Caenorhabditis elegans: one gene and its partners. The protein of the gene in region 3 interacts with the protein of the main gene of each other region in a pairwise test. Each region holds a gene or a part of one and is shown on either strand. Other genes may lie near its edges.

What was found.
Region 1: the proteins of bed-2 (region 3) and F53A9.6 interact in a two-hybrid assay, tested with the Caenorhabditis elegans proteins (one large-scale study listed by BioGRID).
Region 2: the proteins of bed-2 (region 3) and utp-14 interact in a two-hybrid assay, tested with the Caenorhabditis elegans proteins (one large-scale study listed by BioGRID).

The regions. Positions count from the first base shown.
Region 1 is NC_003284.9:8,710,702-8,717,982, reverse strand, and holds F53A9.6 (Spore coat protein), read left to right. Parts: upstream 1-4,178; coding exon 4,179-4,439; downstream 4,440-7,281. Other genes in the region: F53A9.7 (Threonine dehydratase), read left to right, coding at 1,061-1,318; F53A9.1 (Spore coat protein), read right to left, coding at 6,155-6,388.
Region 2 is NC_003279.8:5,420,003-5,432,888, forward strand, and holds utp-14 (Small-subunit processome), read right to left. Parts: upstream 8,456-12,886; 5' UTR 8,439-8,455; coding exon 8,287-8,438; intron 8,235-8,286; coding exon 8,034-8,234; intron 7,989-8,033; coding exon 7,889-7,988; intron 7,808-7,888; coding exon 7,410-7,807; intron 7,359-7,409; coding exon 7,241-7,358; intron 7,228-7,240; exon of another isoform or gene 7,196-7,227; coding exon of another isoform or gene 6,437-7,195; intron 6,392-6,436; coding exon of another isoform or gene 6,362-6,391; exon of another isoform or gene 6,271-6,361; intron 6,196-6,270; coding exon 5,676-6,195; intron 5,617-5,675; coding exon 5,360-5,616; intron 5,307-5,359; coding exon 5,160-5,306; intron 3,204-5,159; coding exon of another isoform or gene 2,784-3,203; intron 1,557-2,783; coding exon 1,506-1,556; 3' UTR 1,308-1,505; downstream 1-1,307. Other genes in the region: erp-44.1 (Thioredoxin domain-containing protein), read right to left, coding at 4-99, 639-690; F27C1.4 (uncharacterized protein), read left to right, coding at 2,784-3,203; F27C1.3 (Dauer Up-Regulated), read left to right, coding at 6,362-6,391, 6,437-7,195; atp-3 (Oligomycin sensitivity conferral protein), read right to left, coding at 8,775-8,990, 9,167-9,264, 9,309-9,621, 9,745-9,804; F27C1.2 (Copper transport protein), read left to right, coding at 10,165-10,233, 10,281-10,509, 10,576-10,703, 10,759-10,990, 11,041-11,153; Cuticle collagen dpy-5, read right to left, coding at 12,195-12,886.
Region 3 is NC_003281.10:11,462,487-11,475,126, forward strand, and holds bed-2 (BED-type domain-containing protein), read right to left. Parts: upstream 8,323-12,640; 5' UTR 8,320-8,322; coding exon 8,104-8,319; intron 7,951-8,103; coding exon 7,834-7,950; intron 7,622-7,833; coding exon 7,360-7,621; intron 6,343-7,359; coding exon 6,206-6,342; intron 5,504-6,205; exon of another isoform or gene 5,321-5,503; intron 5,276-5,320; exon of another isoform or gene 5,157-5,275; intron 5,135-5,156; exon of another isoform or gene 4,963-5,134; intron 4,256-4,962; coding exon of another isoform or gene 3,731-4,255; intron 3,608-3,730; coding exon 3,323-3,607; intron 2,799-3,322; coding exon 2,311-2,798; intron 1,809-2,310; coding exon 1,685-1,808; 3' UTR 1,179-1,684; downstream 1-1,178. Other genes in the region: putative E3 ubiquitin-protein ligase plr-1, read left to right, coding at 1-35.

The DNA of each region.
Region 1 (7,281 bases), on a different chromosome or scaffold from region 3:
TATTTTCATCTGTTTCACTATCAGGAAACGTTCAATTTTTTAATGCCAACGTTTGACATTCAGTACTAAATATCATAGAGTTCAACAGGAATTAATTTAAAAACGTTGAATATTAATGGGTAATTGCTTTCCAAACTTGAACACAATAAATTTTGATTTGCAAAAGCCTAAATTAACATATTTTATAAGGAAAACCAAGATAATTGAAGCAGGTAGAAGCAAAACTAGTTTAATAAAGAGCACAGGTCGATTGACCACACAAATAACAAGTCAAATTGAAGTTCTGAAAAATGTCAAGCAAGGCAATCTTAAATTAGAAAAAAAATCATTAAAAAACTTGAGTTAATTTGATAAATGAGCTCTGTTTTTAAAAATATTTTTTACTGATTTACTTTCAACCTAAAATTTCCAATATCTTCTAACGTAATCATATGTTCGTTGTTCTATGATTGAAAAATCGTCTCCCATTTAGCTTTATTTTCAGAGCGTGAATTAACAAAAACACTTTTAATTGATCAAGTATACAAAATAAATTAACATGTAATAATGCTAGTACATATCACATTTCTAGATATATTTTAACCACACGATGAAATGCAATAAAAAATATTATTGTTTCAGTAAATTTCTTCAATGAATGTGGCAATGATCAGTTTCATCATACTTCAACATCATGAGGGAGGAACTGATCTTCTGGATCATTTCCTCCCATTTGACCTATGACTAATCTTTGTTCCGCTCCCTAGTAGGTTTGAACTTCTTTGTCGTGTTAAACGAAGACAGTGACGAAGGCAAACAAAAATATCATCATACTCTATCGCAAACTGATCGGGCGTCAAAAATGGGGGAGGGCCAAATACCGCCAGCACATGATAGTTCCATCTTTATCTCTTGTGACGTACTATTGAAAAAAATTTCTATAAATACTCGAACGTGGTTACCATGCTCTATCAGTTGTTCAGCTTCACTTCTGGAAAATTCACCTTTTTATTTTACTTTATTTGTTTGTGATTATATATCTCACTCATTTCATTTATTGATCAATATATTTTCAGAAATAATGTCGTACCACGGAAACGGAGGATACAACGCTCCATACGGAGGACACGGAGGATATGCTCCACCACCAGTCCATGGAGCTCCAGGATACATGCCACCAACTGTTGTTCACACTGACGGAGGACATCACGGACACGTTGACACCCATCACCATGAAGAGAGTCACCATGGAGAACATCATGGAGGACACCATGGAGTACAACACTACGAGAGTCACCACGAAAGCCATCATCATGGTGGACACCATGGACATCATTAAGTCTGATGCAATTTTTTAAAAAATTTAAAAAAAAATCTGTAAACTTTCCCATTTGATCCTACTAAGAACAATGATTTACTGTTTTCAAATAATGTTTTCAATTTTGTACATTTGTGAATATAAATGTTTCTTCAAAGTGGTGTGTAGTTCTTTTAGCGACGTGTGATATATACATATTTACATTAGATTACAGAGTAGACGTTTCCAGTTCTTCGACTAGGATAAATGTTCTGAAGAAATTTTTTGCAAATGTATTGACTCTGAATGGATTCTATGATTAACACATTGGGTACATGGGTTTGAACATTATTATCAACCTGAAACATCATTCTATCATTTTCCAATTCTGTTCGTCCCCAGTTCCCTTATATTTCAACTATATATTTTCCGAAGTAATGAAAACGGTAAGTAACACCAAATAAAATAAATAAATCGTTGATCTGCTGGAAATATTAATTTTAGCCAATCGTCTATCTTTAGCCATTAATAGCAACTGTTGAACGATGCGTTAAATTTTGAAGTATGAAAAATGGAAGTTTTCGATGTTCGAAAAATCATATGTTGCCGAATGTTACAACGATTAGCCGACATTTTCCATTAATTCTCAATTTCGACAAATGCGAAGTTTCCCTTTGCTCGAAAATATTGTTGGTCATTCACTCCTGGTCATATGCTGTCGAATCAAAAACTGGGGAGAATCAAAAAAATCAAAAAAATCAATGTGGATGTATGTTGATGTAGAGAATCAATCCGCATTGTCGGAAGTACAGTGTGACACAAAGAAATATTAGAGCAGTGGTGTCAACAGCAGTTCAATTGGATTGTCAGGCCAAATATTCTCGTTCACAATCAGTAAGGAACAAAATCTTAATTTTCGTTAGACTATCACTAATTTTATGTCTAGCTCTTTCTTCTCTTTTCCTTTCTTCACTTTCTTGGGAGTGTCGAAAGACCTCTCTTTCGATGATCAAATATCAATAATATCAAATAGTTTTCTCCTGTATTGTTAATTCCGATTAACATATTAGATGCTAATCACCTCTTATGTGTTCATTTACATATTATTCCAATCCATATAAAAACCCAAGAGAACTCAGTAGATGTATGTTTGATGTAGGATGTATGTTGATGTAGAGATATGATATAATTTCCTTCTAAAGCGCTTCGACTGATATTTTCTGTTTATTTTTATTATTTACATCAATAAATCCTTTTATTATTGCCTACCGTTATTAAAGGAAGAAAGAAAAAAGAAAGAAACTTATCCGAAAGGATAAGTGTTCACATATGCTTCGTCCATTCATTACAAAAATATAATAATTTTACAGAATATACCAATTAGTTATGTTGAACATAATGCATTCGGAAGAGTTTTTACAACAAAAATGAAATAACTCTTTTAAAAAATTATTCATTTTAATTTCTGTGACGAAGATAGATAATCTTTTCAGAAAGACTTGGTCCCATTCCATAATAGATATATTATTGATTCAGTTCTTTTTTCATTCAGTTGTTTGTGAACACAAAACCCAATAAAGTTATTCGATACTGACATTTGTCTAGTGTAAAGTTCAGTTTCCAATGTGTTATCTGCCCAACCTATCAAGAAAGAAACGCTTAACCTTTCCGTGCAGCCAATTTGACATTAAGCACTGAAGAATTATTAAATGCATACTAGAATTTAACAGGAACTAATTGACAAACAGTTTACCTTTAGAACAAAGACTAATTTCCAATCAAAAATAATTGTTTTAAAGAAGTAACTGAGCCCAAAATAAATACCCTGACAACTGTAACTAAGGAAAACAAGTCAATTATATTGTCTACGGAAAACACACAAATAAAAATGATCATATTGGGTTGAATTACGACTCAAATAGTCTATCATGCTCTTTTGATATTGCTTTTTGGTCAAAAAACAGTCCCTCGCAACGAATATACGTGAAAAGCAAATGACAAAGCCACGGATACGTGTACAATGGATAATTTATTGAGTGTCACAAGTGTTCCAAAAATCTGAAAAACTTATTGATCTAAATACTTGAGATATAACTTGATTTCAATGTTTTATTGTTGACAAGGACTGTTTTACTCTGTTTTTTTTCTACTGCAATTACTAATATTCAACGTGTCACGCATAGGTTGTGATTTTATTTTATTTTGAGAAATTCAGTGATATTTTAAGAACACGTCAAATGAAAACGTCAGACTATTACATTAATGGAAACATCGGAAAATAACAAAGGTTCGCTCGTAGAATGCGCATCGCATGTCTTACAATATCTCAAAAGATATCTGATCTGATCACTATTTTATTATCAAAATGTTCAACCCATTTGATATAACATGTATGAAACAAAAAATATTATTGTTTTAAAAAACTTTCCAATGTGACGATCATTTTCATCATACTTCAACATCATGAGGGAGGAACTGGTCTTCTGGATCATTCTCTCCCATTTGGCCTATGAGTAACACCCGTTCCGCTCCTTTAGTTTGTTTGAGCTTCTTTGTCGTTTTGAACAAGAAAGGTGACTAACAAATAAGGCAAACAAAAATATCATCACACCCTCTTATAAACTTATCGAGCGTCAAAAAATGGAGGAGGGCCAAATGCCACCAGCGCATGATAATTTAAACGTTTTATCACTTATGACGTGTGTCCTCCATTGAATAGATTGCTCAAATACTCAAACGCGAAGACCATACTCCATCAGTTTTTCAGCTTTCCATCTAAAAATAGGTCCTTTTTTGGATAAACCTATTTTTCAAAACTGTTCAAAATCTTCTTTTTATCTTATTTCTTGATGTACATTATTTTACCAATCCTTTTTTACTAACTTATTGATTTTTAGAAATAATGTCGTACTACGGAAACGGAGGATACAACGCTCCATACGGAGGACACGGAGGATATGCTCCACCACCAGTCCACGGAGCTCCAGGATACATGCCACCAACTGTTCATGTCCACACTGACGGAGGACACCACGGACATATGGACACCCATCACCACCATGACAGCCACCATCATGGAGGACACCATGGAGGACATCACGGAGGACACTACGAAAGCCATTATGAAAGCCATCATCATCATGGACACCATGGACATCATTAAATGTGATGCAATTTTGTAAAATTTTTGCACTAAGCTGTTAACCTTCCCATATGATCCTACTAACAATAAATGCTTTACAGTTTATTTGAAAAAGATTTTGCAAAAAGATTTAACAAAAAGCATAAACCATGGAAAATCTATTTGGAACTGTTATCCCTTTTTGTTTTTAATTTTTTAATTTAAAAATAACAAAATTTTCCTAAACGCGTAAAACAAATAAGCACGGCAATTTTCAGACTTCATCAAATTTATTCGGTGTAACATAAAATTCAAATAGTTTTGCCAATAGTGGGACCGTCAAGTTTAACTTTATCCAAAGCTCCATACAGCATTCTCTCACTTACAATATTTCAGAAAAAATAATTTCTTCTTGCGACTTTTGTTAAGCGAATAAATCCTTCAAAAATTAAAAATATATTGATTTTTTCAGTTCAGTTTTTTGTCTAGCTGTTTATTCTCCTTTGAAGTCTTTGAAATTTCAAAGTTCCAAATTCGAATCATGATTTGATTTGATTTTTCGTTTTGTTTTGATTTTTTGATTTAGCATTCAAAATTCTGACATTTCCCAAAAGCCTAAGCTATTAGCAATTTTAAAGCAATTCTGAAAAGACCGAATACAAAACATGACATTAAAATGTCATGTGCACACTAAAGATTACGATTTATTTTTAAGCACGCTTTGCGTTTTATGTGACTTGACACTTCTTATCAGTCTGATTTTATGTTTTGTTAGCTTCACCGTAGTTCAAGGACAAAACTCAAGGAATGATTTAAGGAACAAAAATGAAACGTCTGAGAGGTACGGTATGAGCAAATACAAATTCTTTTGACCGAACATTTATTGTGTTTTACGATGGCTCCGCTTCTAATCGGTATTGCAGTCAGACCATAAAATATTTTAAATGCGGGATCAACTAGGAGAAAAAGTAAAACATGTCAAATAGGTGCAATTTTGAATTAACATAATTGAAAAACTAAAGTGAAGATTATAGCGGCTTCTTTAAAAATCCTAAGATTTGATCACTAATGTACATTTTTTGTTGTTGTTCGATAAGTGTTTGGGTGAACAATGATTTCAAAGTCGGAAACGATTGAAGTATTAATTGAACATTATCTGTTGTGTACAACGTTTAGACACATTTAAATTCAACGAAACATGCGTTTTTGTTTTTACGTTTTTTTTTCTAACTGTAAGTTTGAAATACACAGAATAATGTTATTTTGAAGTGAGTGCCAATATCGAAGTATCAAAGTAGAAGTTATTCACTTAATTATAACGTAAACTAATTTTTATAATTATTTTCAAATTTCAAAGCTTCAAAAACACAAAGTTTTTCATCAGGTAATTCCCTTTTTAAAATATGATTTCAATCAGCTTTTGATAATTGAAAACAGGGGCTTAAAAAGTTTTCACCAATAACAAGGAATATTTAGTTCTAGGAAAAATTTATCGTTGTTCACTCTCAATAAAATTTGGAATTGCGTTTTCGTTAATGAATAGAGGTTCCAAACATTTCCAATTGTCTCGTAATAGAAATGCACTACTTATTGAGGAAATACGTTAGAATGACCGTAGCAAGCGGAAAACTTCTTCAGTTTTATTATTTTACAAACAAAAATCCATGACTTTGTACAACAGTTGCAAATGATTTTATTCACTAGTAGGCTTTAGTGAAACGAAAACCAGGCATATAAAAAATTGAAAAAGAGTCATCTTAATAATGATGTCCGTGATGATGGCCGTGATGATGATGATGGTGCCCAGTCATGGCATGTCCCAACTCATGAAGAAATCCATGGTGGTGATGGTGGTGACCATGATGATGTCCTCCATCAGTATGGACATGAACAGTTTGTGGTGGCATATATCCTGGAGCTCCGTAGACCGGTGGTGGTGCATATCCAGATGCTCCATAAGGATTGTATCCTCCGTTTCCGTAGTACGACATTTTCTGAAGAATAAAGTTTAGCGAAGTTATAGCAAAATGCAAATAGGAAAACGTTGAAGAGTTAAAGTTGAAGTGGGAAAACTGGAAAGTCCTGTGTAGAAATGCTGAATTGATGCTAAAATGTCAGCATGGCTTGCTATTTAAACCGAACTCGGCAAGAATTACGTCAGAAAAAAGATAACAAAGTAAAATTAGTCAAGCCCACCTTTATTTTGACATTGATAAGTGTTTTTTAAAAGAATATGACGTACTATTATTATTAGTCATGGGGTTTTTAAGCATCAAAATAAAAAGAAGTGAAAACAAACTAACAAAGTTTTTTGATAAATAGTTATATACACATTGCGAAATAGTTCAGTTTTAAAATGCATTAGGAACAGAAAGAATAATTTTCATTCCATCACGTTTATAAAAATCATGATCATTGAAAACATACTGAAATTGTTCCGAACAAGAAACTGAGAAACACTAAATCCCTCGCATATTTTAAATGCGTCTAACGGTTGAGATATTTATCTGATTTTTTTAACATTAGAGATTGTAGGAGTACTCTGTCGTTTTTAACAATCAGCAAGTGTAACTTTGTTCTAGATTGTTAACCGTTTATGGAACATTACGTCTCATAAAATGTACATTAAAATTTTCGGAACATCATATGATTTGAAACAAAACTATAATGTAATTCAAAATAGATCACGACCAATCATGGGAATCACGTTATTACTGTGATCTGATGATTTGATGAGTGAAATAAAATTGAGTTTACTGGGTTATTTTATACTGAACCGAGTCTTGGCACAAATTAAACATAATAGTTGGCAGGTCGACAGAGTTTTTGCAAAAGGACTTCGACTTAGTGTAGCACTTTTAAATATAAGGTACTTGTGTATTAC
Region 2 (12,886 bases), on a different chromosome or scaffold from region 3:
CACGAATAGTTTGCTCGAAGTTTTGTGATGTCAATGAAACAACTTCAGCATTCAGTAGAGCCGGACAGAATAGAAGTAGGGATAACCACCGCAGCATTTCTGAAATTTTTGTTATTCGATTTGAGAATTTATAGGGAATTTAAAAATGTTTAAGGCAAATGTTAAGAACATTTAAATGATTTTCCAGCTGTAAAAAGTATGCTTATCAACCGATCTATAGGAAAACAAAAAGTTCAAGAGTTTCTTGATTGGTCTGTTTCAAAACGAATGTTTTTGATTGGTTGTAAACGCATATTCATCATCAGTTAGTTTAGTGCGGAAAATGGCGTTTTGCAGGGTTTAGAAAGGGTAAGACGTTGTAAAACATTTCTCAAAACATAAAAATCAATGTCTGAATGCAGCATATTCAAATTTAAAAGAACGGCAAAAGACACGTGTACTTTTTGGCCAGCATTGGTCACACAAACCGCCCGGGGTATTAAAAATAGTGGAAAAAGTGTTGAATTATAAGAGACACAGACGCTGAATCAGAAGAGGCGCAGGGTGAGTGAGTGAGCACACGGAAAAGAGCAAACGAAAAGTGGAGAAAAAGCTGACTGGCGATGAGAATTGGGCGTGGATGGGGCAGCTTTACAAACGATTTTTCATGAGAATACTGTGTGCTTGTATCTCTCTGAGAGCATGTGCCATTCCGTGCTGATCACCGAGATTCACTTCTTCTTTCAAAACCGAAAAATATAAATTTTTGTTCGAATTTAAAAAAATCAAAACCTTTTTTTTTTGGTTAAAACTGAACATCGAAAAAAAAAACGTTTTGGGGTTTATTTTCTCAAAAATAGTGAAGGTGCAGGTTCTTGTGAGAAATTTGTCAGAAAAACTTGTTGTTGCAGTGTTTTCAGATTTTTTTAAACCAAATTTTTCGTTTATTAAAAAATTGAAGTATGGAAAATTTTTTTTTCAAAATCTTTAGTGGTTTTTAACCGACAAAAAATGTTTTTAAAAATAAAAAAAAACAATTCTAGAAAATATCTGGAAAAATGAAGAATAGTTCAATATTTAATGTTGATTTTAATGAGACATGATTAAATAGAGAAATACCCTAAAAAATTAAATTTTAAATACTTTCGAAAGCGAAAAGCAGACATTTTTTTGAGATTTTTATTTCAAAATTTCAAAACTTTGGGTTTCGTTGCCAACTTTTTCAAAATATTATTTTAACAACAAAAATTATATTTTCAAATTTCAAATAAATTGCTGGGGATATCCACCATAACGAAAAAACTGATTATAATTGAATTATTTTTTAAAAAATTTGTTTTTCATTTAAAGAATTACAGGAAATGTAAAATTGAGAAAATAATGAGAAAATGGTCTCAATTAAACTTTCACCGTAAAGAAAACATATAAAATTAACAACAACGAACATTTCAGGTGACACTTCAAAGAGAGAAAACCAACAATAAAGTTTTTTTAAAAAATCAACAAAAAATTAACAATTCTTCCAATTATTCTCCGAGTAGATGCTTCTTGTTGATTGGACGAATAGCTCTTCCAGCCTGAAAATATAAATATTATAAATAGAGAAATTTTATTCAAAATTTGTGTCTAGTAACTCATGAGGGGAAAAATGTGAAAATAGTTGGAGAAAAGAAGTAAGAGAAGGAGAAGAAGAGCATTTCACAGCTGAGTGAGGAAAAGCTGTCCCTAGAAGCAACACACACATCATCGATTTTCTTTCGAGCTTCAACAATGTTTTGAAACATTTCAAGTTCTTATCAATGTAATAGGAACGTGTGAAAACCCAGCAGAATGTACGGCGCCGAACGATGATTTTGAATTACTTTCAGTCAACAACTCGATTAGTTTTAGTGACTCGTCATGGTGTAAACATATATTTGATGTTTTTATTTCTTTCTAAATAGATTCTAACAATTTTCAATTGCAAGTTTTGTTGGTTGATTTCAAATAATTCCAATATTTATGATTACTGTAATGGTTTTTTGGAAGAGGAGACAAGATTTGCTGTAACACAGGGATTACTGTAACTAAAACGTCTAGAAAATTGCTCCTCTTCAATGATAATCTTTAGAAGTTTTCTTGCTATTTTTAAAAGTTATTCAAATTTCCTCGCTAGCTCACTGATCTTCTTCAATTAATACAGGTGTGAGCCAATCCAAATATGTATTCTCTTGTCAATCATTTTTCGTCATTCTTTCTCCGATCTATATGAACACCCACCAACCTCTACACAAAAAGATGACCTGCACCCGTTTGGGAGCATTCGGTTTCCTGCGTCTCATTCTAACCAACATACACAATCTATAATATGACTCGTTCTCTCATAAACGTGAATAGAGAGAGAGAAGCAGCGCGCGCGCACACATCTAAGGGGAGGGATTGTCCGATACGAGAAAAGAGAAAGAGACATAGGAAGAACGTAAGGACAACACAGCGTTCCTCTTCATCTTCTCGTCTTTCTTATTCTGTTACTAGTCATTAGTTGCCATTCGCATTCTGGTGGTAGAAAGAGCACATCGGAGATATATCTACTTTGTCTCTTCATTTTCTTTTTTTTCCGTAAATATTACACCTAGATTCAAAAAATCTAGGCAGATAGTACACTAGGATAAAATACATGCACTTGATTTAAATTTTTATGAAGTCAATCCTGTTGTAAATCCTACTCCGTTCGAACTTTCACTTTCATTCTTTTTTCCTTCCGTTGCCGGTCTAACTTGTCTCTTTGTATATATTATTTTTTTTCAGAAAACTACAACTAAACAATGAACTCCATCGTCAATGGACTCTACACCTTCATGTCCACAACCGTCGTCCCAGCAGTCACAGAACAGGCAGCGAACCTTGTTGGAGGAGCTTCTGCACTTGCCGAAGGAGCAACACAGGCTCTAACACAAATCAGTCAGACTGCTCTCGAGTGGGGATCTGGCTCAGAGGATGCCACGGCTTCTTCTGAAGTCTTCTCATGGGAGCAACAAGGGGCGGCGGCGGCGTCGTCTGATCTTCAAGAGGATAAAAAGGAGACGACAGAGGATGTTCACCAGGAGGCGATAGGAGCATCGTCACCAAATACATCGATCGAATGGGAAGTGATCCATGAGAATCCAGACGAGACGGGTCCAATCAGGCACAATCAATTTGAGATGGTGCAAAACAACTACGAGTGGATGAAGAATTCCAAATGATCTGGGATGAACGAAGAAATCCTATACATGTTCGGGTCTATTTTAATATTACTGTCCAATTTATGTCATGTTTTCGGTAATATTTACCGGTTTTCACAATGTTTCACAATAAACTTTCGTACGTGATCAATTCTACAATGTCCTTGGCAATAAAAACTACTTCAGACAAGAAATTTCAAAGACAACAGGGATTTGAGGTGTTAGAAATCATGGGCAATACTTAATGTAAAAAATCTATTAATAACAGAATATCGAGCTTCTTATCGGTTAATTTCGCAACCTATTACAACTCGAACAACATTCGCCAGTTTGCGTGTTCATTTTTGCATATTTTCTTGTTAGAACAGTGTTTGTTTGTTTTTATAGTCTACTTTTTTTTTAACGAAAAAGGGAAAAGCTTGTGACATCAAAATGAACTCGTCACATGTGCCGTTCGGTTCCTGTCTCCCGTGCCAGTGCATATATATGCACAGATGATAGATGTTCGCTTATATTTTGTGACATTATACACCTTTCTAAATATTTTAAAATCGAAAAGAGCTGTCTCAAATGTAAAAAGTGGTCCCTATTCCGAAATTATATCAAAATCAGTTTTGAAAAAATTTATTGTGAACAAAAGTTGCAAGAATTTTTGAATTTTTCTTTCGGCTGAAAATTCGAAATATTGTGCAATTTGATTTTAAAAAAAACCAAATAGTTGCATATGATTTTAGGGGAGCATATGCAAGGTTGCACTGAGTCTCATAGGGGTACTGTATTTTTTTATCTCTAATTCTCTAAACACTACTACTACTCGATTCTCTAATATATACAGTTTCTTCTTTCATTATTTTCGATTTACATTTTTAAATAATATGAAGATTTTAAAAATTGTATTCTTTAAAAACTTATCGAAACTTATTTCTAAACCAAATTTAAAAAGACCAACTCTCAAAAACCTATTATATTGATCCATATTCTGGGACTCTATATTGTCTCTTCTCTTCCTCTACTATGTTGGAATAATAATCAAATGGTCTCGTTAGCCGCCAGAAAGTTATTGATTACAAAGGTGTATACTGTTACATCAGATCGAGCGTTTTTGTGCACAGTCACGCCTATTTGGCAGCCTGCCATACGTTGGGTGTTCAGTCGTCCGTCGTTTTTTTTACCTAGGCTCTATGTTCTTAATTTCTTCTATGTAGTTTGATTTCCATATTACCTCGATTTCGTAACTATCCCTTTTTTGGCACAATAGATTATGAAATTGCGTGTTTGTTTCCTCAGCCCTTCTATTCATATTTTCCTTATCTAAAATGACTAAAACTTATTTCATTTTCAGAACCACAAGTTCTCAAAATGTCTTACTTCTCCTATGCAACCTCCATCTGGAATTCCGTATCAGAAATGGTCACATCTGCAGCTGAAACCGTCGGAACACTTGTCAACGCGGTTACTGAAGACACTACTCCAGTCGAACTCGTAGAGGTTCCACAACAAGAAGAACCAGCTGTACCAGAGAAGCTAGAGACTTTAGAGCCTGCAGAGGTGGAAGCATCTTCCAAGGAACAACTGGACGAGAAGGAAGACTACGATATGCTCGATGATCATGCTTTGTATGTCATAATGTACGAGTACGCTCGAGGAATCACCACGGAAGAAAACGTTTTCGTTGATTTGGAGGAATCGTTGCCATGTCATTGACTTCGCAAGATCTTCGTCTAGTTCGGATGATCAAAACTAATTATTTTTAAATTATTCATGTTTTCCCTACTTATAACCACTTCATCTGTTGTTTTATCAACTTTTTTTTTGTTTGAAACAATTCAGGTCCAACCCATCACACACTCCCAGTCCAATGCCTTTCTTTCCTTGTTTTCACTCGTTTTTTTCCACTGTTCACGGTTCTCTTCTCCTTCTCTTTGTTTCAACATAATTTTCATGTTCAATAAAACTGTAAAATATAATAAAGCTTACCTCAACAACAACCGCAGGTTTGCACAACTCATCTCGCATCTTCTCCATATTCCATTCAAGACCCAACGGTTGTTTTAGCACAGCCTCATAGTCTTCAACTCGGGAGTAGGGGAATGGTAGAGAACGTGGCTGGATCTTTCCGATACCCTGAAAGCTCATTTTTGCAATTAAAAAATCTAGGAGATATATCAGGTGCTTACATCCTTAGCCGTCATATTTTCAGCAATAATTACTCCGTTTCTCTCTCCGTCCCTTCTTCTCTTCTCTTTTGCTTTAATCACAAAGTTTTGGCGTCGCTTCTTCTCAGTCATTCCTGGTCCAACCCATGAGCCCCATCCGGCCAAATTGAGATCTACATCTTTAACTTTTTCCTTTTCTTTCACTCCTTCTTTCATATCTTCAAAATCTCCAATGACGTCATCATCCTTGAAAGCTTCATTGATAACTTGAGCGGCTTCTGCAGGAAAAAATCGTTGGAATATAGTTAATAAAAAGAAAAAAAAAGATTAAGCTTACCTTCATCAAACTGATCCATTTTCTCAACAAAATCCGACGAAACTTGTGTCAAGTCGTTTGTGTTGAGCTCTAGAAATTTGCTCGGATCGATTTCAATTTCCTTTTGTCGTTTTTCAGCGGCATGCACTCCAGCTGAATCCACTGCCTTTTCCACTTTTTCATCAAAAGTTTCTGCACGTTTAGCCTCCATCTTCGGATCATAATTCTTATCAACATATGATACTTTTCCAATTGTTCCTTTTCTCGCTGACTCCTTCGCTTTTAGTAGCTTCTTTTTCTTCTGCTTTGCCTTTTTCGCATCTTCTTTCTCTTGCCAAGTGTCATCGACGTCGAATAGAGGATTTTCACGTGATGCACCAGTATTCGCTGAAATACTTCGAGTTATAGCAGCTTCTTGTCGTTTCTTGGCTCGCATCTGAGCAAGTGTCACTTTTTGAGCATCGGAGTCTTCGAGGAAAGTATCAACTAGAGCCGTGCCAACTTGTTTTCTGGATTCTTTCTCCGCTTCTTGGGCGGCATCCTGAAATTTTTTAAAATTAATTTTAAATATAAAATTTTAAAAAATAGAATGTTACTACGTGAAGAATAAATCATCATTTTTCAAAATCCTCTACTTGATAACTCTTTTATTTTTATTTCTTCGATCTCAAACTACAGTTGTGGATATATCGATAACTATATCACAAATGATGAGCATGGAGTTATTTGGTTTACAGGTATTGTTTGAAAACTAAAAAATCCAAAAAATATAAAAATTTCAGCCAATTTTTATGATACTTCTGCAACTTGCTCTGTGTTGGACAGTTCCGGCAGCTATTCTGGTGAACTGCGGGAAGAAGTCGAAAGGAAAGAAAAAATACTCAGATGAAACAGGAACAACTGGAGGAACTACTGGAGGTGATGATGATGACGATGATGAGGATGATGAAAAGCGTCGTAAAAAGAAGAAAAACGATGCGATTGCGGCAAAAAAGAAAAAAGCAGCAGCCAAGGAAAAGGGAAAGATTCCTGCCGGAGCTCCAAAGCCTCCGAAAAATCGTGCTGCAATTGCTGACACCCATGATCCCAACTACCAGACATTGGCCGGATTGAACGATAACGTTTTTGAGCAAAAACAAGGCGGTGGTGGTGGTGGAGCTGCTCCAAAAGCTCCGGACGGAAAACCAGGAATGGCCGGAACTCATGATCCTAACTATCAAACTCTTGCCGGCTTGAATGATAATGTTTTCGATAAGAAAGGTGGTGGTGGAGCAGGACCACAGGCTCCAGCAGCAGGAGGTAAACCTGGAATGGCTGCAACACACGATCCAAACTATCAGACTCTTGCTGGTTTGAATAACAACGTGTTCGATCAAAAAGGTGGTGTTGGTGGAGGTGGAGGAGGAGGAAATGGTGCACCAGCTCCACCAAAAGCTCCTGCTCAACATGGTGCTAAGGCTGCAACTCATGACCCGAACTACCAAACCCTGGCTGGTCTCAATCAAGATGTTTTCGGTGCAGATAAGAAGAAAGCTTATTGAGAACTTGAATCCGTCTAATGAATTAGTAGTTTATGTCTCACTTACCTTGATTAACTCATGAATACTCTTCTTTTTATTTTGTGGATCTTCCGTTGAAGTTGGAGCTTCACCATCAGAATCTTCAGCGGTAGTTGCGACTTTTGCTTTTAATTCTCTTCCCATTCTGAAAAAATATTCCCATTTTAAAATTTTTGTTCCAAAATTAATATCTAACCTCAAATGCTCATCGAGCAATTTTTTGACCTCTGGATTTCGGCTAGCATGTTTTTCCAGCATCTGTTTGAATTTCTGATTCTGTCCGCGATGCTTCAAACTTCCTCTTTCCATGATTCGCTGTAAATCCATTTCGGCAAGTTTTTCATGAGCAGCGGATGGATCACGAGCAACCAAATCATCAAACTCTTTTAAAAGTTGTTTTCGTTTTTCTCTTTTTAGAATTCGATGATATCCTTTCGATTTGATTTTCTTCATATATCGATTCTTGGCCTCTTGGATTCCAACAATAGCACGCATTCGTTGCATTTGTGAAAGACGATCTTTTGCCATTTTAATATCTGTAGCCTTCATCAATTCCATCTCCTTTTCGGTCAGTACGGGCTCGGTTTTCTCGTCCTGAACGAAAATAATTATTAGGAGCAATTTTTCCACTTTTATTAAATTTTAGAACAGTTTAATTTGGAAGCAACAACTTACACCCCACATAATTCCATCCGGTTTTGTGAGAGGGAAGATCAATTGATCACTGACGCGGTTGCTTTGAACGAGCTCTGTCCAATTTTGTGTCACTTCTTTTCTGTAAAAATATCTTATTAATTAAATCACAAATCAATAATCTCACTTCAAATCAGTGAACGCAATTTTTCCTTCAATCTCCTTTCGAGCTTCAACATCTTTTAGAGGAATTAATGTTTTGCTTTTCAGCTTCTTTTTCGTAGTTGTTTCATCTGCTGTTGCTTCCGATTTTCGCTTCTTTCCTGTTTTTTCTGTCGACTCTAGGCCACCAATTCCGAGACTTTGCTTGGCTTTGTTGGTTGAAGGTCTGTAAAATTGCAAAAATCCTAAATTTAAAAAAAAATTTGTTTTTCAAATACCTTGAAACTGTAAGATGAGATAGAAGAGAAGTTGCGTCGGTTTTTGTTTTTGATGCTTTCTTCAGACGATTTTTCTTTACAGTTCCAGGTGTGTGAATTGATTGCAGAAGCTTCTGATGAGCAACGTCATCAAGATCCGAGTCATCACTCATTTCTGTTTCTCAAATTTCTATAATTTTATTCTGTTTTCTTTCAAAACATTATTAAGAAGTAAATGGTAACCGACAGAACGAGGTCAATATAATTGAAATTTTTCACAGATCTATTTATTTATTTGTTGAGAGTACAATAAAGAAACTTAAAATTCTGGAACAAACAATTACACTGCTGATGTTATGACCCACTAGAAAATGAAGACAATACATAAAACCGATTACTAAACAACTCTTTAAAACACCATCTTCAATGATTGGGTATGATGAGGCAGGGAACTGGTTTGAAGCACAGATTGAAAATCGGGATGAGGAACTAAATTTTTTGGGAAAAATTTAGATGGCGGTGGCAAGGGCATCCTTGTATTTCTTGACACGGGAAGCGATCGACAGATCGACGTACTTGTCTCCGATAGTGACAACAAGTCCTCCAAGAATCGATGGCTTGACGGCATAAGTCACCGTGAGCTTTTGTCCAGACTTTCCGATCTTGCTAAGGGCATCAGACAATGCCTTCTGGTTTGATGAGCTCAATTCTTCGGCGGAGGTGACCTGAAAATGATTTTTAGTTTTTAAAACGGTACGTACGAGCATCTTCAGGATTAAAATTTAGACTTGAAAATTTCCATTTCTACGTATTGAAAACATTCGCTATTCATATTTTATAATTTTACGAAAACAAATTTCAAAAGAAACATTGTTTTTCTTGGCAGTTATAATAAAAGTACCTGAACGAAAAGTTCTCCACGGTGAGCGCGCATGATGGATTCGAATGAAGAAACAACTGACTCGAGCTTGTTCAGACGTCCGTTCTCAGCCAAAAGTCCTGAAAGTTACAATTAAATTTGTAATTACACGTTAACAAAATACCAAGGAAGTTTCCAGTCTCTTTGGTAAGCCCCAATTTAGTTGAGATAGCCTCGATGGCGGTCTTCTTCTTGTTGGCCTTGAGAGTTGGGTCGAGGACGAACTCTTGGAACTTCTTGTTGTCCTTGTACACGGAGCGAACATTGTTCAGATCTGTGGAAATCTGGTCGAGCTTGTTCTGTTTGTGTCCGGCTGAGTAAAGAGCGGCGGCGTAACGTCCCTCGACTCCATGAACCTGAATCGGGGTCTTCACCAGCTGAGCCTTAGCGAGAGCAGCGCTCGTGGAGAATCCGCGTTTCATGAGTTGCGCCATTACCTGCAAAATTAAGAAATTAGGCAAAATTTAAATTTAATAAATGTATGCAAGCAAACGAATTAATTAAAACAACTTTTTAAATTTAATTAAGAAAAAAATAATAAAGAGTGGATTTTTACATACTTTTTCGTGAAGAATAGTCAAATATAGGTAAAGAGGCTTGCTTGGGATAAAAATTCGCATAAAATAGTACAAAAACTTAACTGAAATTCGATAAAAAAGAACTGAAAGCTAATTTCAAGAGAAAAAGGGCGGTCGTTGGCTGAGTATCACTCTCTTAACCATAAGCCAAGGTACGCAGCCAAATCACCGGCTGTCAGTTCAGTAGAGCGCATTTGGTGCTGCAATTTTTAGACAATTTTTTTTGTGGAGTTTTCTTGTTTGCAAACTTTCCATCTCGATAAAATGCATGTTCATGACAGGTTGCGTATAAAAGGTCGCAAAATGTTGAAGCTGCAGTTGAAATTGTTATCTTGTATAACTTCTAGTCATATTAAACGCAATTTTTATTGATTTTCATGTTACGTCATATATTTTCAGATCATGGGTACACAATTGGCCATCCTAGGATGGTTGGCTGTGGCTTTGGTGGTTGCTGCTGCAGAAAATAAGGTTTAATTTTAATAGTTGCTTCAAAAATCTAACATTTAGCATTTCAGAGTGCTTACGCACAAGCTGCAGACAACTTTCTCGATGAGCTCGCTGGAAAAGAAGTAGAAGCGGTTCCTGTGCCCGATGAAAAAGATCAAAATGAACATCATGAACATTCGTCTCATGGATCACACGCAGGTCATGGTGGACACGAGGGACATATGATGAAAATGTGGTTCCATGGAGGATTTGAAGAAGTTATTCTATTCGATTTTTGGAGGACGGATTCACTTTTCGGTAAGATTTTCATTATTCAATTCAAGTTTATTTCTTAACTGTTAGTTAATTTTAACAACTCTTCAGGTATGCTTTTATCGTGTGCTGCTATTTTCATTATGGGCGCCACATATGAAGGTGTCAAGTGGTTCCGTGTATTTCTGCAAATGACGCAAACACAAGCTCAGGTTCTTGCCAACAAATCATGCGTGGAGGTAAGTAATTTTATATTTCTCTATGTTTCATTAAAAAATATCTTATCCGACCTAGTTTGCACTTCAGACAACGCGGTCTTCTGGAGGCACTTGCCATCAATCGGTTACCCACTCACAGAGCAACAAGCCTCAATCTGAACCGTTCCTGATATCGGCTTCGGTAGCGAGGACCCCTGCAACTTCGCCATTCTCTCCTCAACGGCTCATTCAGATGCTCTTGTACATTTTTCAATTGGTGCTCGCCTATTGGCTCATGCTCATTGTGATGACTTACAACACTTATCTAAGTAAGTACAAATTTCTAGTTTTAAATCAATAATTCTGTGTATTTTTTCAGCTGCTGCGGTGGTATTAGGAGCAGGATTTGGACATTGGCTGTTTGCAGTTCTCCAACTCCGAAATTGTGATGGAGAAGTGACGGATTCGTTCCAAACCGATGCGTGTCATTAATAATTGCGATCTCCAATCTCAATCCTCAAACAAATCACCAAACATCATCAATTCATCTTTCCTCTTTATTAGTTGATTTATCTTTTAAAATGTATTTCCTCACTAATCGACCTTAGTTTCTCTCCTGCGGGTCGATGAGCACCTTAGGATCCCGCCTCTTTTTATCACCAGAATCTCAGTCAGAAGAAGTGTCTAATTCAGAGCAAGCTGTCAATTTTCTGATTTTATTTATTTATTATTGAATTTCTATTTGCCCTATTGAAGTTGTAAATGATAATGAACATTTGTCCTGTTATTGTTCTATCATAAGATTGAATCTTGTAGCTGATAAGATACTGCACCTCGTGAGAAGTTATGCAAATAGTCAATCGGAAGTATTAAATAACAACGTGATAAGCCTTACAAAAGATCATCTAAATAGTTTGAAGAAGCGGAATCAGGTCTTGTCGCGATTGAAAAGCTATATTTGATATTGAAGTTTTGTTATAAAATTTCGAATTTCGAAAAATAAATCGTAATCATTTTTGAAATCTCAAAACGTGCAATTTTCATAAATTGTTTTCTTCTTACTTCGAATTTCCATTTATTTTCACTTAGTATTAGAAAACAATTTCGAAAAATTATTATAGGGACGCAGAAAAAACCAATGTACACACTCCGCCTCCGAAGCATGGGTCTCGTTAGGTATTAGGCGCGCGCCCTATAGGGGCCCTATATATATATATAGGCGGCGAAACTGTAAACTCAAACGTTTTCTATTTTTTTCGCCGATTTTCAAACATTTTTTCTTTTAAAAGTAAATTTTTTCAGTTGTTTTTGCATCAATTCATGAAGCATAAAAATAATAGAACATGTTCTCCTAATACCTAAAGAGACCTAATCTTCAGGGGCGGAGCGTTAGAAATACATTAAAGGCGCGAACTCCCTTACGTCTTTCAGTCGCGTCGAGACCTGCCATCGTATTTTCAAAAAGAATTATTCAAAAAATGTGATAAACTTCAATTGAATACATAAATATTTATTTTTGAATACGAAAACAGTTTAGACGCGTCTGCGCTTTCTCTCTGGGCATGGGCAGTATTCGGCATCGGCTCCAACGGCTCCTTGTGGTCCAGCTTGTCCTGGAGTTCCGTCGTTTCCGTTGAATCCGTCCTTTCCTGGCTGTCCAGTTGGTCCCTGGGCTCCAGTTTGTCCTTCCTCTCCTGGATTTCCGTTGTTTCCTGGCTCTCCACGTGGTCCTGGCATTCCTGGGCGTCCAGCGACTCCTGGTTGTCCCTTTCCGGTAAGTCCATCGCGTCCTGGTGGTCCAGCAAGTCCTGGTTGTCCGTCTTGTCCTGGAGTTCCTTGATCTCCAATATCTCCAACACGTCCTGGCTCTCCGTCCTTTCCTGGGGTTCCACGCTTTCCAGCGTCTCCTGGAAGTCCTTGGAATCCTTCTTGTCCTGGAAGTCCATCTTGTCCTGGTGGTCCAGCTGGGCACTTGATGCACTCCTTAGGGAAGTCATTTGGAATTGGAATGTTAAGTCCTGGAAGTCCAGTTGGTCCGTTCTTTCCGTCTGGTCCAGTGCCTCCTGGCTCTCCTGGGGCTCCTGGGTTTCCTGGAGCTCCGGCTGGGCATCCTTGAGATGGAAGTCCGCAAGAGCATTGGCTGTTGGAACGCTTGTGACGTCCGAAGATTCCACGAACGTATTGCTCAGCAGACTCTCCGGCTCCGTGACGAACGTCGAGAAGGG
Region 3 (12,640 bases):
TCGAAATCGAGCCCCGTACATCGCAACAATTATAGAAAATTAGCCAGAATACTCTATCAAAAAATATCATATCACACCTTTTCTTCTCCCAGTTTTTCTCTTTTTGTCGTGCCTTGCTCGTCATCTCTCCAACCCCGATCTCTGTATTTTTCTCCACGTATGACTGCGCCTTGTAGGCACGCAGGTAGGCATTTTTGTGCCTACGTGGATTAATTGCCTAAATTGTCTTAAAATGCTTAGTGTTTTTCAGGTGTCAAACTTTCCTCCCCATGTGTACCCAACGGGTCAATCACATTCTCTTCTTGCATATGAATACATTTTCATTTTTCTGTTGTTTTTTAGTTTTTTTTTAGACTACCATTTTTTTTTTAACTTTCTAGAAGTTTCTAGTAATAAATTTTTTAAATTATTTTGCCTCTAATAATATTATTGTGACGCTCCGCCCTAATAATGGCCATGAAAAGGGTGTGGCTTCCAAGCTCCGTCCAATTTTTTATACTATAAGGGTTTAAAAATTTAAAAATTTAATAATTTTAAAAATTCCCGCCAAAACTTTTCAATAAATTTAAATGTTGAATTCTCGCAAAATAATTGGTAAAATATATTTTGAACTCCCGCCAAAACGTTTATAGAAAATTAAATTTTAAATTCTCGCTGACGACTGTTTGAAAAATTTAAAATTAAAATTTCCGCTAAAATCATGGTGTTCTGGTCTTCCTCGTTGAATTTTTCGCGCTCCATTGACAATCGCCCGTGCAGAAATCCGTGCAGAAACTCAATAAAAAATTAAATTTGAACTTTTCGGCTAGAACGTTTTTTTTTTCGAATATATTAAAATTTGAATCACCAAAAAAAAATCCAAAATTTGCACAAAAATTTCATTTTGAATTCCCGCCAAAATTTCAATTTAAAAAATTCAAATTTGATCGATTTTTTTTTTAATTAAAAATCAGAAATCCTGTCTTTAATTCCTTTTAATTCCTGCCGAAATGAATATTGGAAAAATTAAATTTTGAATTTCCACCAAAATTATTGAACCAAAAAATTTAGAGTTCCCGCCAAAATGCATTTGAAAAACTAAAATTTGTACTCGCGCCAAATTGTTTTATTCCCGGCACCATTAAAGGAACGGAGCCTAAGTTTTCTGAAAAGTTATTTCATAAAACAACAAGAAAAATAAACAATTAAAATTTATGTTTTCAAATTTATAAAACACAGAGAGAAGGCATTTTTTGTAATAAAATAAAGGTATAAAGTTCCTAGTTAGGCGGAAGGGGCGATGGAAATGTTCATGATATTTAAGGGGGCGTGACAATATTACCGTAATCTTGATAAGGAAAATTTTTTTGAGTAGTTTTTTATTTGGGGGGAATAGGGCACAAAAGTGTGTGTCAGGTATATTAGAGTGTACACAAAAACGACCAGCGCATGAGGAAAGAGTGGGTTGGCGACGAGACGTCTCTTGGCCCAGGCGGCCGACGTCTCACGGGTTGTGGAGAGCGTCGGCTGCTGCGGGGTTTCACTACAAGTGGCGGAACCCGGGAAGCGTCGGCTGCTGAGACAAGAGACAAGAGACGTCTCATCATTTGCAAAGAGGAATATATGTATTATAGTTTAAAATTTTTAAGAAAAGGAATGGTTGTAATAAAGCGACGATATATATTAATAACAGGTAATCGATAAATTAAGAGCTATTCTTATTAAAACATTTTTGACATTTTCCACGTATCGCCCAATGGAATTGATTGAAATCCGTCTTCACCCAAAGTTCCGTGTCTTTTACGCTTCCGTTTATTCGTTCCGTAATTCTGAAAATAAGTAAATGATTATTTGGAATTTTAGGTACAATGTATAGTTGAGAGATTTCGGAGAAAATTTTTCGGAAAAAATTCGAAAATTTATTTCTTTATTTTTTCAAAAATTTTCAAATTTAAAAAAAAACTGATTTTCGGAATTTTTAAAGGAATTTCTGAAATTTAGGTAATTGACGAGTTTCTGTGACTCCGCCCAGATAGTTGGAAATTTCAAATAAGCTCCGCCCATAGTGATGGGCGTGGCTTGCAGGATCCGCGTACTTTTAACCACTTTTTGTCAGGAAAAAATAATTACTATTAGCGATTTCCTTAAAAATGTAGGGATAAAGTTTTGTGATTTTGTTGTTAAGTTTTTTAGACGATCCTACGTTATGGGCGTGACTTATAGGCTCCGCCCATTTAATGGTCGTGAAAGTTTCAAACCCCGCCCCCTTTCACAGACTCTTTTTTTTCAATTTTAGAGCCGAAAATTTCCGATGTTTTACGCTAAACTCACTTGATCTCCTTTCCAAGATCAGTCAAACATATAACTTTTCGAGAAGCGGCTCCCTGTGACTCATCGACAGTCCGATTGCTCTCAAAACACAGCTCAATCTCGGATCGTCGTTTGTGATAGGACATTGTCATTTCCAAGTCAAGTGCCATCGACATGAGCTGAGCGGCACAGTGTCCCTCGCTCAGTGAGAACGACGATGGATCCTTGTCCACTTTTGACGGTGACATTGAACCATTCGATGTGTCGTGCGCGGATGGTGGTGAGCTGGATCTTTGTTGGCTTGTGCTCGATTTTGGAGGTGCTGGTGCCGAGGATGTCGAGTTGCCGGCCGCGTTGAGCATCGCGAACATCATTGGATTGGAGTTAGAGAGACTGCTCACGAAGGCGGCGAGTTGCTCATTCTGATCAGTGGTGGAGGTGTTCGGCGATCCATATGTGTCTGGGGTTTCTGACTTGATGCGCTCATCGGAGCTTGAGGAGGATGCGGCCTGAAATTTTTTGGGTTAAGAAAATAGTCTCTAGGGTGTTCCTAATATGCACGGCCCGACAACTACCGGGTTCCGCACTGAAAGTTAAAAAGTAGGGCGGTCCAAGAAACCCGTTAGATGTCGGTCCCTGTTTTTTCGTAAATTTTTTGTAGATTTTTCGAGCGTCCGACATCTAGAGGGTTCCAAGCGCCAGCTGCTTCTGTGGCGGAACCCGGTAGATGTCGGGTGCAGCCACTTACATCAAAAAGCTTTCCTAAGAAAATCGCACTTTGTTTTTCAGCGCCCGACAACTGCCGGGTTCCGCTAACCCGGTAGGTGTCGGGCGCAGTCCCTGCCCATTTAAATAAGCGCTCAAATTCTATCATACTCTTCGAATGGGCAGTTTCCCCAAAATTTCCATGAACCCTTATCAATTTTGGGGTCCTTATCAGGTCCCCCTTCCCAAATATTTCCTGTCAATTTCTGCCCGAGCACATTGACGTGTCCCCCTCCCCGTCGCCTCTTAACACTGATAAGCCACTCACCTCCACATGATTTTCAGTGTCTTCCTCCATCTCCTCCTTCTTCACAAATCCACTGTTAATGTTGATCACCTCTGAGGATTTGGGCAACGAGTCGAGGAAGTTGAGTGAGGAACCGTTGGCAAATGAGGAGAAGTCGGCTTCTGTCAGGGATCCCGATTGCTGAAGTTGTTGCAGGAAGGCCATCGAGTCGAGCATGGGCTTTTGGTCCATTTTTACCATGGAGGGCAGCGAGGAGCTGGATCCGGCTCCGCCACGGACACGCTTCACGTACGGTTGGGTTGGAGTCTGGAATGAGATAAGAGTTAAGTCTCTTAAGTATACAATATATCAGTTAGAAATTAAATTTTTTAATATATTTTTTTATTGTTTGATACTTTTGGATAGACTGGGTACTGTAGCAAGAGGTACCTCATCAAAATCCAATCCGTTCGCGGGTCTCTTGACCTTCTTTCGGGTGGTGCCATCTCTCAAAATATCCTGATGATATGCATTCATATGACCCCACATTGATTTGGTACTACTATCATTCCGCTTGAGAACCTTCCAACAATAGATGCACTCAACATTCTGCTTCTCGTTAAGACATTTATAATGCTCCCAGATTTCTGAGGTCTTCTTGTGTGGTCGCATTCCTGCGGCGAACAGGATCTCACTGGCGCGCGCCGCTGTCAACGGGGAGAGCTCTTTTTCGGTGGTGGTGGTGGTGGTACGATCTTTTTTGAGCAAGGATGAGGTGATGGGGTTTTCGCTGGATGAGGCGGCGGCTGCGGCGGCGGCGGCAGCAGCAGATTGCTCAAGAAGAGCCATGAGCTGTGTGGTGTCGATTGTGGAGGGAGCATCGGAGCCGGAGGATCCCTCGAAGAATGCCGAGTCATCCTTGGAGTGGGACGGATCTATGACTAGCGTGGACTCTTGTTGCTTTCGACGGGCCATCTGGATTTATATGAGTGGTACTGTCGGAAGGAAGAAAGTTGAGAGCGAGGAAAAGAACGAGGGAAAAAATCGAAAAGGTATATGTTTTGGAGACAGTCAACCACAAAAGTTGTGGTTGTGTGGGGGAAAATGAAAAGAGGAGTGTGGCCGGTCGCGTCTTTCTCCCCGCCGGCGCTGGAGTAGGGAGGGCGGTGTATGTGTCTCTCTCTGTCTCGCAAAAAGCCCCGAGACGACGGGGTGAATCGATAACAGAACGGAAAGGCCCCGTGGAACTAGAGACGAGAGGAGAGGTAGTGTTGAAGAAGAAGAGACGAAGAGATGAGAGGAGCGTCAAAACGGGGCACGAGCGGTAGACACGGGGGGACCCGCCTCGTCGTACACACACCGCCCACATGTACACAAATACTCTCACATACGGCGGTTGTGGAGAGGAGGAACAATTTTTGGACGGGGGGAGAAGCACCTCAATTTTTGGGGTGGTGGACTAAAGTTTTGGGGCCCTAAAGTTTTAGGGACTAAAAAATCGGACCTCTGATGACCGAAAAAAAAAAAATTTTGGGGCTCATTTTTGGAGCAAAATTAGAAATTCCCGTCAGAAAGTGGATGACGGACGAGATATTCGAGTTTTTAGTCCAATTTGTTCAAAACTTATTGTGGATTTTTCATCTCAAAAAAGGGTCGAACTAATTTAGCGAAAAATTTAAAATTTTCAGATTTTTTCCGACCGCAGCCCAACTTGGCGACGAATTCAAAATTTTTGGCTCCCCGGACTACAAAATGAGCCCGGAAAAAAATCACAAGCCCGGGTGGGGGGCCGGGGCTAAAAATAACATCTCGTCAGATCCAAAAATCCAGTTGTTAGTTAGGGTAGACCAGGGGGGGGGGGGACGCAAAATGAGAAAATGAGAAGGCGAAGAATAAGGAGGAGATGAAGACGAAAAAAGAAGACACGACGACGATGATGATGACAGGGGTAGATGAAAAAGGACGAAGGGGGCCGCGCCCCGTCTCTTTCGGAATGGAAGAAGAAGAAGGGGGAAGGAGGTCTTCCCCCCCCCCCCCCCCTCCCCTCCAACTATCCAACAACGGGGGGAAAAGAGAGTACCGGAGGAGCGGGGCGACGGCGGGGGCTAGTGAACACGGGGCGGCAGGAGACCTAGACTGGGGCTTGGCCGGCAAAAAAACCCCCGCGGCGGGGGACCCGCCCCCCGTCTCCATCTTTGCTTCCTTTTTCTTCCCCAATGCGGTAGGTCTCGGAGAGGTCGGGAATGTGAAAAGCAAACGGGACGGGAAAGCATTGGGATAGTGTCTTCGAGAGACACAAACACACTACTGCTGCTGCCTGTGCTAATAAAGAGAGACCGCGAGCGCCCCGAGATGACGGAGAGAGAGAGAGAGAGAGAGGAAGAGATGGTGGAAGATCCTGTTGTGTGTGATGACGGTCCACTTTTCCATTTTTGGGTCGCCCTATGGACTGTCGGCCAGTCGGGGGTGGTCGGTCGGGGGGAGCGCGCGGCGCGCACTTGTCCTCTCATCACGCGGGGGATTCGAGGTCATCGAAATGTGATCGGAGTGCCCCCCCCCCGACTCTTGTGGAGAAATAGAAGGGTACTTTTACACAGGTGCCCCCCCCCTCTCATATTTTGGTGTGAGGGGGACCGTGTCAACATTTGGCCCCTTATTATGAGTGGGGGCTTTATACCCTAGTTCAGTACAAAAAAAAATCATGGTATTCCTTTAAAGCTACAGCACCCATTTCCCCGCTATGTGATCTCTGAAAATTTGGGGAGCCGTGCACCACCAGTTAAAAACTAGGCCGTTCCAAACATGACCTGCCTGCCTCGCGCCTACACTGCAGAGAATTGGCGGCAGGCAGGCAGGCTCAGTACCCAGTAATCAGTTTTTAAAACAAAATTTCCAATTCAAAAACATAAAAAACCGCCACCCCACCTTAGCCAACTTCTCGCTGAATCGATTGAAAATCCCGTCGTCCGAATGAAACTTCTTGAGATGTGTTCGCAGGTTGTTCGGGCTCCGATCGTCGCCGCTCCACGAGCAGTGTAGGCAGATGACTCCACCGGCACCGGCTGCAAAATTTTGGTTGTTTTTATATTTTTGTACCTCTAGTGTTGCTTTTAATTCGGTGATGGTATGGAAAAAATAATTATTAGAACAAATTTCCCCGAAATTTGCGCGGATATCCGAGATTCTTTTTTGTTTCTGAGAATTTCAAAATGTTTTCCTTAATTGGTTTTTCCACTACAGTGGATTCTCATAAAAATTATAACAAACATTTTAATTTTTATGGAAATTATTTTTAAAAATAAATTATGGAAAATAGGCCGTACTTGCCGAATAAAATCTGAGAATTTATTTTGTTTTTAATTAAAAATTGGTATATTCAAATTCCCGCGAAAACTTATAGCCTATTTTCAAAATTTATTTGACTTGAATAACTACTGTTTTTCAGATTTTCAGACATTTTTTCAACTTCAAAATTGGCCTAAAAATAAATGTTTACATAATTTCATCTTTTTTTCCATTTTTCAGCAGAAAAAAATGTCTGAAAATTTTGGTATTCCAGAACGCAAATGTTTTTAGAAAAATCTTTTAAAAACCAATGAATTTTGCTAGAAAACGCGAAAATGTCGAAACAATTTTTTTCTAATTTACAAACATTTACAAAAAATTATACATTTTCACAGTTATTACGGGAACTCAAAATTCTGAGAATGCGTACTGCGCAACATATTTGACGCGCAAAATATCTCGCAGCGAAAACTACAGTAATTCTTTACATGACTACTTTAGCGCTTGTGTCGAATTATGGGCTCAATTTTTGAAATGAATTCTTTTTTTTTTTAATTTTTTCGTATAATTTACTTATTTTTTGCAGATTTTTAATATTCTTAAATATTTTTTTCAAAAATTTCAAAAATTGACCCCGTAAATCGACACAAGCGCTACAGTAGTTTTCGCTACGAGATATTTTGCGCGTCAAATATGTCGCGTAATACGTATTCTAAGAATTTTCCAAATTTAGGCAGTAGAAACGCAGAGTCCAATAGAGCACACTTGCCACAAAAACCAATAAAAAAACTCACTGCTATCCTTCATATCCTTAAAGAAATCCCAAACTGGATGCGACTTCTTCCTTCCGGCATTCCTCGCCCACGCCGACGGTGATGACGTGGATCCGAAGCTGAGCTGATTCTGATTGTGTGGTGGGGATCCTTGTACAGACGCGAGAACAGGCATCAGGTCACGAATTGTGGCCTCGGAGAAGAACTGGGATTCAATGTCTTCGAATTTTGATGGGATCGGCGTGCCGAATGATTGGATCAGTGAGAGGGCGGCGGCTTGTTGCTGAAAAAATATTAAATTTTTTTTGAAGATGAGAAAAACGAAAAATAAATAAAATAGAGTACAGGGTGGGGAAAAATTCAATTTTTTTTCAAAATTTAAAATTCAATATTGAAATTTCTGTCTTCTCTCTGACTCATATTGGATAGGTGAACAGAACGAGAAAGAGAAGAATTTGCATTTTTCAAAAAAAATTTTTTCACATTTTCACCAACCTCTTCTGTTCCTCCTGTTTCCTCGGCAGCCTCATGCGATTGAGCCGCTGGCTCCGGTGACTCGGAGCTCGCCGTGTCCGAATTCGCGACATCTGTTGGTGGTACGAGTGTGGCAAACTGAAAATTATTTCTTATTTTGTCATTTTTAAAAGAAATTGCAGCTCGCATGGCGGAAAACCAGTCCGACCAATCAACGCCGTTGGCCACGCCCACTCGGACGTCGCTAATTGGTCGAAACTTTTTATTGCAGAGAAAAAACTTTTAACTCACCAATCCATCCTTGAACATGTCCATTAATCCATTTTGATCAGAAATTCCTGCAGAAACCAGCGACATTGGGTCATATGGCGGTGAATCACTTGAAGACGATGAGCTGAATGTCGTTGGAGCCTCGGAATCCGACGTCTTTTGCGACATGACGTTAAGCTGATTGGAAAGCACTGTGTGCAGAGCTTCTGTGAAGTTGCCTCCGAGAAGCGATGTCATTCTGGAAAAGGAGATTGTTAAAAATTTAGAAATAATGGAAATAAGAGAAGGTGAGTTTGGAAAACAAAAAAACAGATTAATAAAAAAGTGTTAGGAAAAGGTAGATCAAAATTGTAGGTCAAAAAAATAGTTGTATTGTTCGTAGCTCACAGAAGAAAAAAAACATATCCTACGCGCAAAAACTACAGTACCCCATGAGTATGATAGTGCACACAAGAAGACACCACATCCCACGAGCAAGTTCTACAGTATATCAAGAGAAACAAATTTCTGAAACGCACAAAAACACCCGATTTTACGCGCAAAGTCTACAGTACTGTGGGGTTCCCTATCATTGCTAGTCCACAGAATAAATGCATCGCATCCTACGCGCAAGATCTACAGTACCCCAAGAAACTCATTTTCTGAAAGAGCGGACAAAAACATTGAATCCTATGCGCAAAAACTACAGTACCCCATGGATATGACACGGCCCGAGAAGTGGTACCTGTGCGCAATTTGTCTACCGTACCCCTGGACGTTTGGGCGCGTTTTTGTCAAAAACGGCTGGTCCAGTTTTTTGTGATGCATATAAAAAATGCTCGAAATTAAATTCAAAATTTTTTGGACCAAAGCTTTTTTCCTTAAAACGCGCCCAAACCTGGCTAAACTGCAATTATCAATAGAGCGCGTTTACACTGATGTACCCTTGTACCCATGTACCCTGTACACAAGGTGCACACAAGAAGACACCACATCCTACGCGCAAAACTACCGTACCCCAAGAAATACATTTTCAGATAGTACACACACACATAGGAAAACACCACATCCTACGCGCAAGTTCTACAGTACCCTAACTTGACTCTAAACTCAAAGCACCACAAAGCCGCCTACTAAAATTGAAAAATGTTCTCTAAAAGCAAATTGAAAATACTATGGAATAAATGGTTTTGGAATGTAAAAAGACTTGTTTTTTTATTCATTCATCTCCTCACCCTCCCAAAATACAAGAATTCTGTCATCCCTCTCTGTGTGTGTAAATTAACAAATATCGGAGAGGAAGAACGAGCGCTTCTTCTTATTACATACAAAAATAAAAAGGAGATGCATACACATTTATACTACTGCTACTGTATGTGTATATCTGATGTAAATGGAATAGAAGAGGGGGGGGGGGGGGGGGAGGAATGGAAAAATTGTCAGAACTGGTAACGTCTTCTTTTTTAGAAGAAAAAGAGGAGGGGGAGAAGACATCATAAATGTTTATTGTATTCATCACAACAAATAAGACAAAAAAAACGACGTTTATTTTAAAGCAAATTAGTTAGCTGAAACCGAAACTGGGTTTCGCAGCGAAAAAAATGTTAGTAGAAAAGCCCCAAACACCATATTTGACGCGCAAGATTAGATAAGATACAATGGACAACTCGGCTCATGTGGCTCAGTCGGTAGTGGTTGGGGTTGGTGTTCGGAAGGTCGGGGGTTCGAGTCCGTGCCATGGAAAAAAAATTTGCACGTGAGATACGATATGTTGAAATCGGTTCAAAGGTAGAAAAAGAGAAATTACCATTGTGGTAATAAGGTAAACTGAAGGTATATAGGTGCGCCTACCTACTGTAGAAATACGGAGGAAATAGTAACTGAAAAAATCAAGCTACCGTATATTTTTCGACAAATGATTGGACGAAAAATTGGACGAAAAATGTGAAAAAGCTAACGGTACGCCTCCGGCGCGCGGGCGCGCACCGCCCGCTCCGACAAAACGATATAGTAAATCCAGAAGAACTAAGGGGAGGAGGTGGCTGTTATTATATTATATATATATATATATATATATATATATATATATATGCTGGGGCGGAGAGAGTGTCCTCTCAGCTTCTTCCCTCCAAAAAGCTGTATTTTTACGATCGCCTATAATTGGTTGGAAAAGTGAACGAAGTCAGGATGAACGGACGGACGGACGGACGGGGGGCATTTGGTCGGAGCGGCGATTCGAAATTAATTGCCTATTTTCTTTCAAAAAACCCATCTCGCCTAAGGAATCACTTTATCTTTTCGTGGGAGAGAGAGAGAGGCCTACATATATAGAGAGACTAGTTTTGATATATAATATTAATTCGACTAAACAGATTTGAGGATTTTATATGATTTTAGATATATAGTTGTGAGGGCTACGGTAGTTGTTGGTGGCTTAAAATGATTACACCATATTTGACGCGCAAGTTTTGATGTGGCACAGTCTACGCGCGGCTCTTGTCCCGAGTGGCTCAGTCGGTAGTGGTGGGGATTGATGTTCGGAAGGTCACGGGTTCGAGTCCACTCAATACCAATATATTTTAATAGAGAAAGAGATTGAAAAGATGATAAAATTGCTGTGAGGAACAATTCAAAAACTCAATTTTTCGGTATTTTTCAATCTCCACAAAAAATTGCATGTAAAACATGGTGCATCGTTAAAATCCACATTTTTACGTCAATGCACCATATTTGACGCGCAAATTTTCAAATGCTCGACAATAAGTCTGAGCTCCTTATGAAGCTGAGTAATTTGATCAGAAAAAAGAAGGAACGGAGAAAAATATGTTCATAAAATCCTAGGAAACAAAATAATTAAAAACAAAAACTTTGGAACTACTCCGAATGAACAGAAAATGAATAGAGAGATGAAGAAAAAAAAACTAATTTTCCCATCATTTTCTCCCCATCAGCTTCCACGGCGATGGAGGGGGGAGGAAATAGTCATCTGGACGGATAACACAACATTGATGATCGTAAAACTTTTCGTGATGATCGTTAATAAAAATGAAGAAATTTTTTGGGAAAATACGAAAATATCCTGGCGGCCGGTACGGTAGGTCAAAAACGTTCTTTTTTTTGGATTTTGTATTTTTTTTTTTTTTTTTTTTTTTGGAGTTTTAACTCACAGAGTTTGACCTATAGAGTATTCTGGTAATTTTTCAGCCAAGCCCGTTAAAAAATAGCGGAGTTCTAACTATTTTAAATTTCTAGGCCACCACCGTGGTGTGGGTGGCCGAGGGGGTGACCCGAATTGCTGGGGGAAAAAGACAAGGTTAATGAAAATATCCAATTAAAGTTTTTAGAGAAAAAAAATCTTCAGGCAGCTGTTATGTTTCCTGAGTAGCCAAAAAGCAGGAAAAAAATTGTTTGCTCTCTCTCTCAGTCTCCCGCATTTTTTGGCATATAAATATAAAATTTCACTAATCCCACTCTCTCTCTGCCCCCTTTTTCAATTTTTTTTTTTGGAATTATTGAGAGCACGCGCAAAAATTTGGAGTTCTTGGTGCAGAGAATAGTATTTTCAAAAAAAAAAGAAACCTCTCAAAAGTTTCAAGTTTCATGGGAAAGAAATGATGTTGTAGCAGAGCATAATTTTTTTTTTGTTGAAAAATTTGGAAAAAATTATGCGGAAATCTAGATAAACAAGGGTTTTGGCGGGCATAATTGGTAGGTCAACATTTTTTTTTGCTGAAATTTTTCAAGGCTTGTACTCAGAAATTGGTTCACTCAAACATTAGATTTTGTAGATGCACCATGTCTATAAATTATGGGGCATTAGAAATAGTATTCGCAAAAATGTGACGCCGAGCCCAATACACCATATTTGACGCGCAAAACGCAAAATTTTAAGGGGACAATTCACCGGTAGGCTTGGTCGCATGGCGCAGTCGGTAGTGAGTTGGACCTCTGTTCCAGAGGTCACGGGTTCGAGTCCACCAGACGCCAAACTTCTTTGAACTAGAAACTAACTAAACTTTGAAACCTAAATTTTGCGGTAAATATGTATGGTGTTCAAGAAAAAGAGGAATACTTTTTCAAAACCAAAAAAAAAAAACGAAAAATTATTCTTCCCGAGCAAGAAAGAAAACAATAAGCCACCATTATTTTCCCTCTGGACACGAAAAACTAGAAGAAAAAATACTGCCGCCCCCCGTTTCGAAAACTTTTTTCTCCATTTTTTACTAACAAAACTGCTTCTTCAGACCCCCATGGCCAAGGAGCATTGGTGGGGCGGTCGTCAAAAATCGAATTTTGGCGGTGTGGAGGTTGTTGAAGGGAGCCGAAGGGGGGTCCTACTAAGCCCCCCCCCCCCCCCCCCCCGCCCACAAACTAAAAAATAAGCGAAACAAAAATTTCATTTCTCTCGTTTTGGCTGGGGCGAAAATATACATATAACTTTCCATTTTGGTTCGCTGGTTTTTTAGATATTCGAGAAAATAATTCGGAAGCTTAGGCTTAGTCTTAGACTTATGCTCAGGCTTAGGATTAGGCTTAGTCTTAGGCTTAGGCTTAGTCTTAGGCTTAGGCTTAACCTTAG